Regions from separate parts of the Mus musculus genome. Here all the other regions are reported to be linked to region 3. The links are microRNA targets in miRTarBase. Many come from high-throughput screens and were not tested one by one. Region 3 holds a microRNA gene; each other region holds the end of a gene's coding sequence.
Evidence for each region. Region 3 holds the annotated microRNA mmu-miR-298-5p (GGCAGAGGAGGGCUGUUCUUCCC, at 985-1,007, opposite strand). A microRNA usually pairs through its seed, bases 2 to 8, with sites in the 3' UTR of a target mRNA and lowers its output. Matches are read on the target gene's strand: a 7mer-m8 pairs with bases 2 to 8, a 7mer-A1 pairs with bases 2 to 7 and ends in A, and an 8mer does both.

Region 1: miRTarBase lists Castor2 as a target of mmu-miR-298-5p. The part of its 3' UTR that is shown has no 7-base or 8-base seed match.
Region 2: miRTarBase lists Zfp365 as a target of mmu-miR-298-5p. Seed matches in the 3' UTR shown: 7mer-m8 at 2,437-2,443 and 8mer at 2,069-2,076.
Region 4: miRTarBase lists Trub1 as a target of mmu-miR-298-5p. Seed matches in the 3' UTR shown: 7mer-A1 at 2,067-2,073, 7mer-m8 at 2,722-2,728 and 7mer-m8 at 2,962-2,968.

Annotation. Positions count from the first base shown.
Region 1 is chr5:134,137,796-134,140,907 of GRCm38, forward strand. It overlaps Castor2 (cytosolic arginine sensor for mTORC1 subunit 2), which reads left to right. Exons shown (of 9, transcript NM_030719.3): 8 at 241-335; 9 at 434-3,112. The coding sequence ends at 499. Among named protein-coding and RNA genes, the nearest start is that of Rcc1l, 37 kb to the right of the region's middle.
Region 2 is chr10:67,885,936-67,889,047 of GRCm38, forward strand. It overlaps Zfp365 (zinc finger protein 365), which reads right to left. Exons shown (of 5, transcript NM_178679.2): 5 at 170-3,112. The coding sequence ends at 2,895. Among named protein-coding and RNA genes, the nearest start is that of Zfp365, 25 kb to the right of the region's middle.
Region 3 is chr2:174,266,569-174,269,680 of GRCm38, forward strand. It overlaps Mir298 (microRNA 298), which reads right to left and starts at 1,017; the gene lies at 936-1,017. Mir296 (microRNA 296) reads right to left here and starts at 557; the gene lies at 479-557.
Region 4 is chr19:57,487,721-57,490,832 of GRCm38, forward strand. Trub1 (TruB pseudouridine (psi) synthase family member 1) reads left to right here. Exons shown (of 8, transcript NM_028115.3): 8 at 289-3,112. The coding sequence ends at 548. Among named protein-coding and RNA genes, the nearest start is that of 6720468P15Rik, 19 kb to the right of the region's middle.

The sequences.
Region 1 (3,112 bases), not on the chromosome of region 3:
CTGCCTAGAATCCCCCAGGGAGGGGCTGGGGGGCGTGGCTCCATGGTAGAGCCCCTGCCTAGAATCCCCCAGGGAGGGGCTGGGGGCGTGGCTCAGCAGTAGAGCACCTGCCTAGAATCCCCCAGGGAGGGGCTGGGGGCGTGGCTCAGTGGTAGAGCCCCTGCCTAGAATCCCCCAGTGAGGGGCTGGGGGCGTGGCTCTGTGGTAGAGCTCCTTCTCTGAGCACCTGTGTTTCCCTAGATGAATGTGGGATTGTAGCCCAGATCTCAGAGCCCTTGGCAGCTGCAGACATCCCAGCATATTACATCAGTACTTTCAAGTTCGACCATGCATTGGTAAGTGGCCCCTGGGGACAGGTGGGGACTGTATGGGTAGGGACCAGGTACCTGGGCTCACACACTTTTTTTTCCCCCCTTTGCGTCCTGCCCTGCAGGTTCCAGAAGAGAATATCAGTGGGGTTATCCATGCCCTGAAGGTCAGTCAAGCAGGGAAGCATTAGACTCGTCTCTGGGCTCCTCCCTGCCACAGCCCACCTGGGCCTTTCCCCCCACGAAGGTTATTCTTGCAGTATTTCCCTATGGACTGAAAGCTCGGCCCCAGGACCTTTAAGGAAGGGGCCTCTGGGACACTCCCCTGATTCCTGACTCCTCCAGGCCTGGGCCTGAGCTAGGGCCACCCCCACATCCTCCTCCTGCCTTCCAGAGTCCCCAGCCTTTTCAGTAATGACTCTGTTTCCGCTCGGTGGGGGTGTGCCCATCTTCCTCCCCCAAGTTCCACCCCAGAAAGCGGTCTCCGAGGCCCAGGACACTTGGGACCAGCCCAAGGCCTCACCTACAGCCCGCAGCAAACACCAAAGGAAGCTGGCACCTCCTGTGAGACACTGGGATCGGGGTCCTGATGCACCTAGGGACATCTTAGGGAGTTGGTGGAGCAAGATTGGGGGTACAGAGCTGGGGAAGCCCCCGTGAGCCCCCCCTTGAATTGATGGTTATGGTTGCTGCTCTAGTTTTAGAGGTTCAGGGGCTGGTTCCCTCAGAATGGAGGTCAGCAGGCCACCCTCAGGTCATAATGGCCAGTGAGCCTCAGACAGTAGCAGTGGGGTTCCTACTCCTAAGCTGGGGAGGAAAGGCAAGACTCTAGACCCCCACCTGCTGACCACACAGGGCCTGTGTCGATTTCCTCTACAACTGCCAAGAGGGGCCCTGGGCCAAACTTCCCCCCAGAGCACTTGTCCCTGGAGGGGATCCCAGGACACCCCCTCTCCCACCAGCCTAGAGCGCCAGCTTCTATCTGTCCTTTGTTCGCTCTCCCCAGACCCATCATGGGCAAGCAAAGACTCGGCTTCTTTCAGCGGTGGGCATCCCCACCTGCCCAGGCCTAGGGTGCCTTGGGCCATGTCCCACCTCCCCAGCTGTCACTTAGACCAGCCTAGAGAATTCCCCATCATCCTCTCTGCCCCACTTTTAGGGGATAAAGAGGCCTCAGCCCCCACAGCTCATATACCTGCCCGAAATACACACAGCAATCTGTGGTCACGGTGATAACCTGGGAGGCAGCTATCTTCAAGCATTTGTAGAGAGACATTACCCCTGCGGGGTTTCTTCTTCGTTGTCTTTGCATACAGGTGGCTGGGGAAAGAGTAGTTTTGTTTGGAGGGGATGGAGCCTGTTTGAGTCTTATTAGGGTACCCAGTGTTCAGTGAGACTTAGCACCCTGTGTCTCTGGGGACAGACACAAATGCAAAGATGTATCGTAAGACTCTTGGCCGTGTCTTCTGAGGAGGGCTAGTGGGAGCAGAGCTCTGATACAAGACACCAGGACCCCATAGCACCCCCTGCAGGGCATGCCAGTGTTCCACCACCTTCATATGGCGCTGTTAGCTGGGACTGCGGGGGGTCCACCAGACTTTTTGCTCTTGGGGTGTTTTGTCGAGCCTGTGCTTCACGATCTCCAACAACAAGGTCAGAGGAGGGAATGTTTATCTACCCCTGCACAGTCTTGTACAAACTGTGTTTCCCTCCTCTCTGGGCCACAGAAACACACCCAGAGGAACTCTTCTAGAATCATGTAGAAGCCAGAACCCAGCATGTTAATCAAAATCAACTCTGGTTGGTTTTGGTTTTGGTTTTTTTTTTTTGTTGTTGTTGTTGTTGTTGTTGTTTTTTAACTCCTTTTGCACAAAACCCTTAAAACCAAATCTTATTATTTTCTGGTCCCGAATGGGAAATGGCCAAGTGGGCGGGGCTTTATAGTGAGGCCCCTGAGTCCCCTTTTTCTCTCTCTGGAAGGCCTTGATTGTCCGGGGTACACATCTCCAGAACCCCTCCTGTCTCCCTTTCCAGTCATCCCTTCCCACCATATAAGTGTGCTGGCCCCCTGCCCCCTGTGTGGACCCCTAGACTTGCTAGGATGAGACTGTGTATTGTACACACCTATAAATACATGTTTTATGTTGATAGAGATATATTCTGTAAATAGCATATATACTTGAGCAATATATATGTTAATATATTCTGTGTGCGCAGGACACAGGCAAGGGCCCCCACCTCATGTGCGCACACTCGGGGACATTTTGAGCCACCGTATATTTTTAATTCAAATACGTAGGCAATACGATGAGTGAAAAAGCCCTGGGGTCCTGAGGCCAGCCTGGAGGGGAGACAGAACCAACAACCTACCGCAAGTGGGGCAGGCTGAGAGGGCCAGTGTAGTCTGCTTCATAGCTACTGTACCCCCATTTCCACAGCCTAGAGCTCTGGATGCCTTCATTTTATTTGGGAGGGGGGGCACTGATCCAGAGGAGGGATTGGGTTTTTTTGTTGTTGTTGTTGTTGTTGGGTTTTGTTTTTGGTTTTGGTTTTTGGTTTTGTTAACAGTGGCTCCCTCCCTCAGGGTTACCCCAAAACCTTTGTCTGGTAAACCCATCTGTCCCAGCCTGCCTCCCTCCCAAGTCCCTTCTCCATAGAAAGCTATAGACCTGGCATCTTACCTGACTTTTGTTGTTATTGTTGTATTGTTTTCTTGAGGCAGGGTCTCTTTAGATAGCCCTGGCTATCCTGGAACTCTCTTTGTAGACCAGGCTGGCCTTGAATTGATAGGACTCTACCCGCCT
Region 2 (3,112 bases), not on the chromosome of region 3:
CAGTTTTCCTGAAGGCTGATTGGTGTACAAGGGCATGCTCATTATGTACAAAAGGAACAGTTTATTTGTGAAGCATAGTTTTGTTTGCTGTTAGTGGAGCAATAAATGTGACTTTCAAAAAAAAACAAAAAAAACAAAACACTTGACCTAGAAGGAACAGACCAAAGTGTTAGTCAGAAATATAGCTTTATTATCATAGTATTTCATAATCTAAAAACTTCTCTTTTTTTCCATCCTGGGAACAGAAATACTCTAACATCTATACATTTGACTGGCCCTGCAGCATACTGGAATACAGCTTCCAAGCAAGCCGCACTTACACATAAGAATCTGTTATAGTTTGGGGAGAGGGTGGGGCATTGACACAACAGTTCAAATGAAGATCTTTTCCCCTTACAAAATAAATAATAAAATTCAATGTATACCTCAGTTAATTCTTGATAACAGTTTCCCAGAAACTTTGGTGATTTGTTTAAAAAGTCACTGCTTCAAATCTAAGGTCGATTGCCTGAGGGGACTCGAGAGCGTGTGTGTGTGTGTGTGTGTGTGTGTGTGTGTGTGTAGATGACATATAAATGGAACTTAGCCATGATGTAGGTGAATGATCCTTCCGTTAAAACAGCTCCCATACTTCAACAGCAGATTTATGTCTTTAGGGAGTCTGTTATACTTAACACATTTCCTTCTATGGGGATCAGAATGCAGCTGAAACTTAAAAGATGTTTTTAAATTCAGTAAGTCAATCTTAAAACTATTTGTCTTGAGTAGTGTATATAGAGTACAAGGTTATATCCAAAGACGAGCATGGACCACTGTCAAAGAGGGCTGTCCTTCCTTCTAGGCTCTTTAAAGGAACACCAAAAAATGACTTACTTTAAATAAAAGAGGAAACAAATCTGTCCATATGTTTGTCAAAGCTGAGGTGTTGTTACTGCACACACTACAGGACGGGGAGCATGCGATACAATCAGCAAGTCACGTTTTCAGTGTGGACAAAGCAAAAGTGCAACCATGATATAAACATCAACAATAAATAACTATGGCGGAGATTTCTTATCCAGATAAATAATAACATTACAGCTTTCACAACGTCAGCCTCAACAGTGATATGATACGCAGCTGTTTCTTTCCCCAACTTGGAATCTGCCTGCACACCACACAGAAGATCTGCTCCCATAGGCCGGAAGTCAGTGAAGACTCACACAGAAACCTCTCCTCCACAAGGACAGGTTCAAAGTATCTGAAAACGATGAGTTATCCTTTTCAATTTATTGTCATCCCAAGGAACTGCTTTATTATCTATTTTAATGTAATACGCTAATCAGATGCTTGTTGCAATAACAATAATTCTACAAGTGTTAGTCAGGTTACAATCTTAATTTTTAAAGTAAAGGAATTTGATTTACAGAAACAAAGCTATATAGTTTTAAAGCCACCCACCACAAACACACACTTTCTCCAGGAGTATTTAAAAATAAACTATTCATATACTTGACATATATATAGCGTATGTAATATATATATGTATATACTTATGGACAACATTATTCCTGTTTTAGAAAGAATGTCAGCACAAATACACTCTAGAGACCTGATGGTGTTGCTTAATTTAAGGAAAAAAATATATAAATTCCTTCTGGAAGAAAATTTTAAACCAGGAGATTTTTTAAAGTTTTTTTTTTCTTTAATAGGAACAGTGTCATTTGGGGAGGGTAGTATCACAGGTCATAGTCCGCATGCATTCTTTATCATCTGAAATTACAATAGAATGCACTGCACAATGAACACCCCAGAGGTGTGGCTGGGAGGGGGTCAAGTGTACACCGGCTAAAGAAGCAAGAGGAGGCAAAGTGAGCTTCCGGGTTGAAACGGAAGTTAGCAAAGAGCATGCTCACAGGTAACCGGTAGCAAGCCTTCCAGAGTAGCCGGTGGGAGAAGAATGGTGGGCGTGCCCACAGCATGGCCAGGATGGCCATGGTACACTGAGTGTGCCCCCCTCTAGCACATCAAGCATTTTGGGCACCACATCAAAGATGCTGCTGACCCCAAGGGTTTTAGCAGCTATCTCTGCAGAGGCCGGTAGACAGCTCTTGGGGGTGCAGCGTGCTTTGCCAAAGAAGGCAGGAGGGGTGCACCCAGACCTGAATAAATAGGCCCTGGAGGACCCAGATGTGAATCAAACAACCCCAAAAGCCACCTGGCAAAGTGAGAACCGAGGTCTAACTAAACACGGCCTGTAACCCACACGGAGATTAAAATCTTGATTAACCAGAATCCTCAAGGGTAACAGGAACGAACCTCTACCGTAGAGACTTTCAAATGTATCAAAGGGCGTCTACACGCAAACCACAAAAGCTCTGCTTTTATTTCACTGCTCTTGGTAAGAACTTTACACTCCCAGCTGGGTGTGGTAGCGCACACCTGTGCACTCAGGAGGCAGAGGCAGGAGGATTGCTGCAAGTTCAAAGCTAGCCTGGTATATATATATAAAGCTCCAAGCCAGCCAGGACTACATAGCATAACAAGGCCCTGTCTCAGAACACCAAAAAATACTATTTTTCTTTAAAGTAGAAGAACTTCACAGTCACATTCCTTGCCTCATAATTCAGAGAGCAGTGGATACCAGAGTCTGGCATCTTGTGAGGCCCACGTACTAATGGGCACTGGGTAGAGGAACCCCGGGTGCCAGGTCTGCGAGAAACTGGCCCAATTATTTAAGAAGTTACCCGCTCGTGTTTCCTGAAACCGGTTGTTTTACATTCTGGTTAATCAGAGTGACCCTGTTTGTTGTGTTCCCTGCGTTCCTACGGCTACATGTCCAAAAGGACAACGCTGTTGGACTCTGGAACATCATTTGGTAAGCCCCGTGGTGATGCTTCCGAGCCACCCAAGCTCTAGATGATATTCACGATTGCTGTAGGCTTCTTTTTAGCCATTTTGGGCCTGAAATTCCCTTTCCGGCTCAGACCCAGGTGTTCCCCTTTCTTGGCTGGTCTGAAGAATTCTCTTGGAGACTCAGCCGGTTCGTGAATGGCCTTGGCGGGCTGCATCCCGGCTCGCTCATCCTTGGCTTTCTTCAGGTAGCTTCTCCCCTTCAGATGGAAATGGGCCC
Region 3 (3,112 bases):
GGACACAGCAGTTTATGCCAGAAATGCTGGAGTCTAAGGCATAAGGATTCCAAGTTTTAAGGCCAGTATGGATAATTCAGTGAGATCTTGTCTCAAAAATAAATAAATAAATAAATAAAAAAGGGGGGCTGCCATGAAGACCGGTGTGGATCTGACTGATGTCCATCCCACTCCTGTAGGAAAGAAAAGATAAGTGAAAGGAAAGCAAACAACCACATCAAGGAAGGTCTGGTGCTAGGAAGCAAGTTTCCCAGCCAAGGATACAGAAGAGTAGGGAGATACTACACAAGGTGGTACAAGCCCAGGGAAGCAGGGCACTATTAGCCTAGAGCAGACAGGGTGGGGTCAGGTCTCTGGTACCCCATGAGCACTAACTGGGGGGCAGGACTAGTCTAGCAGAGGCTGCCACTGGGATCAAGCCAAAGACAGCAAGCATTCTCTAGAGCCCCAAGGGACTACTTACCATGCGACGCTCTGCGGACACCTTCAGGAGAGCCTCCACCCAACCCTCTGAAGCGAGCACAACAGGATTGAGGGGGGGCCCTCCAGAAAGGCCCTCTTGTCACCTTCCACATAGGCTGTTCTGTGTGCACACAGATGGAGATCCCCTCTTAGGGGCCCTGCCTCTGTCTCCCCAACCCCAAGACCCTAGGAGGGTCTCTTTCTGTAGTCTCGAATGCCCACTAACCTGGATCTTGGCCCGCTCACCCGCTTCCCAGCTACGTGCGCTCAGAAGCCACTGCATCGACAATGGGAAGGTGGCAGTCTTAGTAGTAGGCTCAGGGCATTATGACAAGACCTCAAAGTTCTCCATGGCTTTTAGAAACATCTATCTCTGACTCCACCAGCTACCTTGATGGGTGGGGGAACTTAGAGGATGAGTTCCGTGTGTCAACCAGCAACATTCTCCTGGAGATCGGAAGGAAGCTGTTGGCCCACTCCTAAGCTGAGAGAAGGCTAGTTCCTCCCAGTCATAAAACTCAAGGGAAGAACAGCCCTCCTCTGCCAAAGGCCTGGGCCTCTTATGCCTCTTGGTGTCTCTTTCAAGCACGGCAGGAACGTCCCAGCCTACCTCAAATAGCTGTGGTGCTCAGGAAGCAGTCAATTGGGCAGGAGCTAGTTAGTGGGGGTCCAGAGACACTCATCTCATGGCCAGATCTGTCTATGACCACTCCATCCAATGGACTCACTCACTTGCATGTAGTAGCACAAAGAGGGCCATGGTGTGGCAAGTATCCTGTACAGTAAACCCTCTTGTTCTATCAAGGTGCCATTATGAACCAATCAAACCATTTCTAAGCAGCCCTGTAGATTCCCACGCTCCAAGAAGGATCCACCTTGCTGGGCCTCTGCTCCAGCAAGACCCACCTCCCAACTCAAATGCCCCACCCCATGGGTGCTGACTGGGTCTCTGTGAGGTGAAAAATCAATCCATACCTGAGGAGGAAGAACCCCCAAGTTCTCCTACTTAGCAAACCTTTTCCTCAGGACTGAATGTTGTGCTCACAGCAGAAGCAGCTGAAGAAGTGCAGGCTCCAATCCTTGAGGCTCCCCATCACACAAGGCTTCAAAGGCAGGACTGTGCTGAGAGCTCAGAGGTGCTTAGAACAGAGAGATGGGGTAGGGAATGTTAAGACATAAACAAAACAGACACACAGCCGCTAAGGTCATAGTTTTAAGCTCTTCAACTTAATGGTTCTGTCCTAGTAGCCAAACAGCCATCAGAAGACATATTTATGGGCAATCTTTTGGCTACTGTCTGACCATGTGAGACACAAGAGCCATGTTTTTGAAAACACAGGTCCTTTTCTAATGAATGCAGGTCGTTAACGAAATAGGCTTGGAAGTCATCTTCTAAGGCCTTTGTCCATGACCCTAGACAAATCATCTTCCCAGAGTTCACTTGTACGGGGCCCTCAGCCAGGGCAAGCACTGAGGACAAGAAATCAAGTCTAGAGACTTCAGAAAAGGCTTCCTTTCTCTTTTCTGAAACTCTTTGGTTGAGCAGAGAAGAGAGACGGAGCAGAGCCATCATGCTCCCACGGGTGCAGTAGAGCAACAGTGGGAGGCAGAAGCAAACAGAAGAACAGTGAGGCCCATCACAGAAAGACACATCTGATGGACACCCACCCACCCTTGATCCCAACCATCAACATGGACAACCAACCCAGGCACCCATAGGTAACAAGGCTGGGACAGCTGGGGATGGTGTCAGGCCCAAGAGCTGCTCAGCACAGAAGGGTCACAGGAATCCTGCGCTAAGTGGCTCTCAGAAAAGGGGTGCATCACCACCAAGCTGTGAGGGGCTGAGGTACTTTGTACTCCCTCTGAAGTCCTCCCCCCAGAGGAAGAGCACAGTTTTAGTGTGAGCCCTTTGCGGAGTCCTCTCCCCTCTGTGCAGTTGTTCCCAATACATCTGACTTGGCGGCTAGAGATGTGGCTCCAAGTGTTGGCCATATAAGCCCCTTTCCCATCACTCAGAAAACAGAGAAATGCCAGGAGGTACACGTAGCTCTCCAGGCTGCCAAGAAGGTGAGCTGGTGACTTTAGAGGTGCTGCGAGAGAAGCTACTGTAAGCGGGCCCCATCATCTTCAAGGACACTCTAGAGTTGTTCCTTCAAAACTGTGTAGCACTCAGTCCAGCTCTCAGCTGCAAGGAGAGAGGATGCTCTGTATCTTCACTTGGGGTGGATGTCTGTCTTATCTGTCCAGCAGACTACAAAGACCCATCCCTAGCTACAGGCTGAGTTGCAAAAGAGCTGAAGATCCCACAAGTACGAGGGAGGGTGCCTCTTGCTTACACTGTCAGAGGCCCCAGAGAAAGCCTCTCTGACTTGACCGTTTCGGTGAACATTGCCCCAAATCCTCATTCGAGGGTAGCTCAGACCTCCATCAGCCCCAGTCACCCCTCAGCTTCTGCTCACATGAAGAACCACTTGACTCCTGAGTGTACCAGAGCCCCTGCAAGGGCAGCTAGGAGCCACGAGCCACTCCTCCAAGTAGACACCTCACATGTGGCCCTCAGTGCTTGTTAAGTGTGCTCCTATGTGCCTTCCTATAGCTCCCAGCCAGCTCATCCCAAACCTATGCCCTCAGCCCCAGCGGCTATCTC
Region 4 (3,112 bases), not on the chromosome of region 3:
CTCTGCCTCTGCTGTCCCCTGATCACATGAGTGGACAGGTCACATTATCCTATTTGCAAGGTAGTGGGAATATTTATGTCCCGGGCTTGCTTCAAATGCCAAGAAAGGAAAACAGGTATAAATTTACATCCCTAAATCATCTTTCCTGCTGAAGCAGTGACTTACCTCAGGCTCTGGGCTCTGGTGCTGGGCTGGCACCCTGGGAGGTCAGAAGTTCTGTTGACTGGAAGACTGTGGATTGTGAACGCCACGCGGCTCATCTTGCGTTTTTCCTTTTGGGTACCGTAGAGCTCTCTTCCTGTGCCAGCGTGCTGGAGCTGACCCGCACCAAACAGGGGCCCTTCACACTTGCACAGCACGCCCTCCCCGAAGACAGGTGGACCATCGATGACATCGAACAGTCCCTCGAGCGCTGCACGTCTCTTCTGCCGGAGGAGCTGACATTTAAAAAACTAAAATCTGACAACTCCAGTGACCAGGTTATAAGCTGTGGATATATAACTCTCAGGGACACAAAGAGAGAAGATGACGCAGTTAAGACACTGTGAGGCCGGCCTGGGAGGATCATTTCCTGGTTGGTGTCTGTCCCGACCAGGAATGCCCATACACCTCTTGAGTTCTTTGCAAGATGTCTTAATGTCTCTGAATGATGGATCTGATTGGATTCAGATAAATAAGTTTTCTGAATTTGATCTTCCCTTAGTCTTTTTCCTATGAAAAAGTTAAACAATATTCTAATGACAGAATCCTGAAGTCTGAGCTGCAGGTTCCACTGGTCTCACAGAAGTGTCAAACTTGCTTTGCTTAGACTCGGGGAGGGGGCGTTCGTTGTTTTGAAATTCTCTGAATACATTTGAAGTGTTCAGTGTCGAGCTGTCCTGTGTGTTTGCAGAGCCTATGGCTGCTGGAAGGTGCTGGTGGGCTGTACTCAGCTGTGACTGTGTTTCTTAAATCCCGGGAATCAATACGTTGTCCTAATACATATCTGTAAATGCACAAACTCCTGCTTTGGCCACTGACAGAATGTAAATAGCGTGAGACGTGATTCATTTCAGATCCTGTATTCAGCAGAGCTCAGCTCCTGTAGCCGTGGACTGTGGCAGCTATTTCTGTGGTCAACCACATGGTATCAAAGTACCAAAAATGTGATTTTCTAGAATATAAACTAAAGAATGTATCTTGAATTAAAATGCTCTCCTGCCTGTTCGTTAGCGCCTCTCTGTGACTGCGGAACCCTGGTCCAGTGACATGGTTTCTGTAGTTATGAAGAATATGATCACATTTTCAAACAGCAGATTTTATGAGTGCTTCATTGTTTTGTTATAGTAATATCTATTCTTTTATTGTGTGTTTTGAGTTCTTGAAGACAAGGAAACTGAGGACACTGGAGAGGCGAAGACACACTGCCTGTCCAGCAGGCACGGAGTGTAGATTCTGCACCCACCCACAGCAGGCGGCTCTCGCTACTTCAGCTCCAAGGGACCCAGCACCCACTTGTGGCCTGTGGGCCCCTGTGAACGAACACCCATGCCTCCACACACATACATAAAATAATTACTTTAAGATATCGAGATTTAACGCAGGATGGCCCCACTCATTATGTAGCCAAGACTCCTCCTGTATCTACCTCCCAAGTGTAGAGGTTAGAGGCATAGGCCACTGACTCCTGCAGGAATGTGGAAAGGTATTGTACAGCTGTGGCAATAGTCAAGGCTTCCCTCATTTACTAACGTATATTTTCAAAAAGAAGATTTATTAAACATTCCGTAAAGTACAAGTTTTTATATTTTTCATACCTTTCCTCTTAGAGGTTGTTGCCTCTAAAATATTTTAAATAAGCAGACTGACGGTTTTATTGTGGTTAATGTAATGCAAACCTAATATAAACAGTTGGGTGCTTCAACAGGGCATTCTCAGCAGACTGGCAACGTGTTTTAATAAAAACGTTAATGTTAACTCAGGGCAGGTAACCTGGCTCAGCTGGTGACACCAGGACCAATGACTTGAGCTTTGACCCCTGGGCAACCTTTGTGAGAACCTCTACCCCAGCAAGTTGTCCACAAACACTCTGCAGTGCGCGTACACCGTGCCCATCCCCCACACATAAAAAACCAAAAGAATGAAATGTTTTTAAATTTAAAAACGAATTCTTAGTATGAGACTGAAAAATACAAGTGTTGTATTATGGTAAATTGATGAATTGGAAGTTACACAGCTTTGAGCCTGATGTCACGGTGAAGCTTTAATCCCAGCACTCAGGAGGCGTGGCCATGTGGAGTTCTGTGAGTTCCAGGTCAGCCAGGACTACACAGGACTTCGGAGTGGGACCCTGTATGTTTATATTTTTATATATTCCTATCTAATGTCCTGTAATTCGTGTAACCAAAGGTGATGTTAGATCCTGCTGCCCGTTAGAACGGACTAGGCTGTACATGGTATGTCTTCATCATGAACAGCTCAAGCCTGAATAGACCATACAGCCTAGAGGTTTCTTTTTTCTTTTTTCTTTTACTGGATATTTTATTTATTTACATTTCAAATGTTATCCCCTTCCCCGGTTTCCCCTCCAGAAACCCCCAATCCCACCATCCCTCCCCCTGCTTCTATGAGGGTGTTCCCCCACCCACCCACCCACTCCCATATCCCTGCCCTGGCATTCTGGGGCATCGAGCCTTCACAGGACCAAGGGCCTCTCCTCCCATTGATGCCCTACAAGGCTGTCCTCTGCTACATATGCGGCTGCAGCCATGGGTCAATCTATACTCTTCTCATAGTGAAGAGTAAAATTTATGAAAAAGCAAGCAAGTTCAAGAAATGGCAGTCAGTCTTTTCCTTTTGTTTGGAAATGCTGGAGAAATTATGCAGGTTTTAAAAATGCCCATAATGTTCACCATCTTAATGCACTCATTTTGGATTTTATTTTTATATTGCATTTTCCTCTTTATTTACATAATTCAGGCTCCTCTGCTCTTACTGATTCTTGAGACGATTTTATCTGGGCACATTTAGTCTTCACGAATATATCTGTTATATCTCTGTACTCAGTTCATTTAAACTACTTTCCCGGGGCTACACACATAAGCAGCCTTTTTTTTTTTCTAGGACACATTCT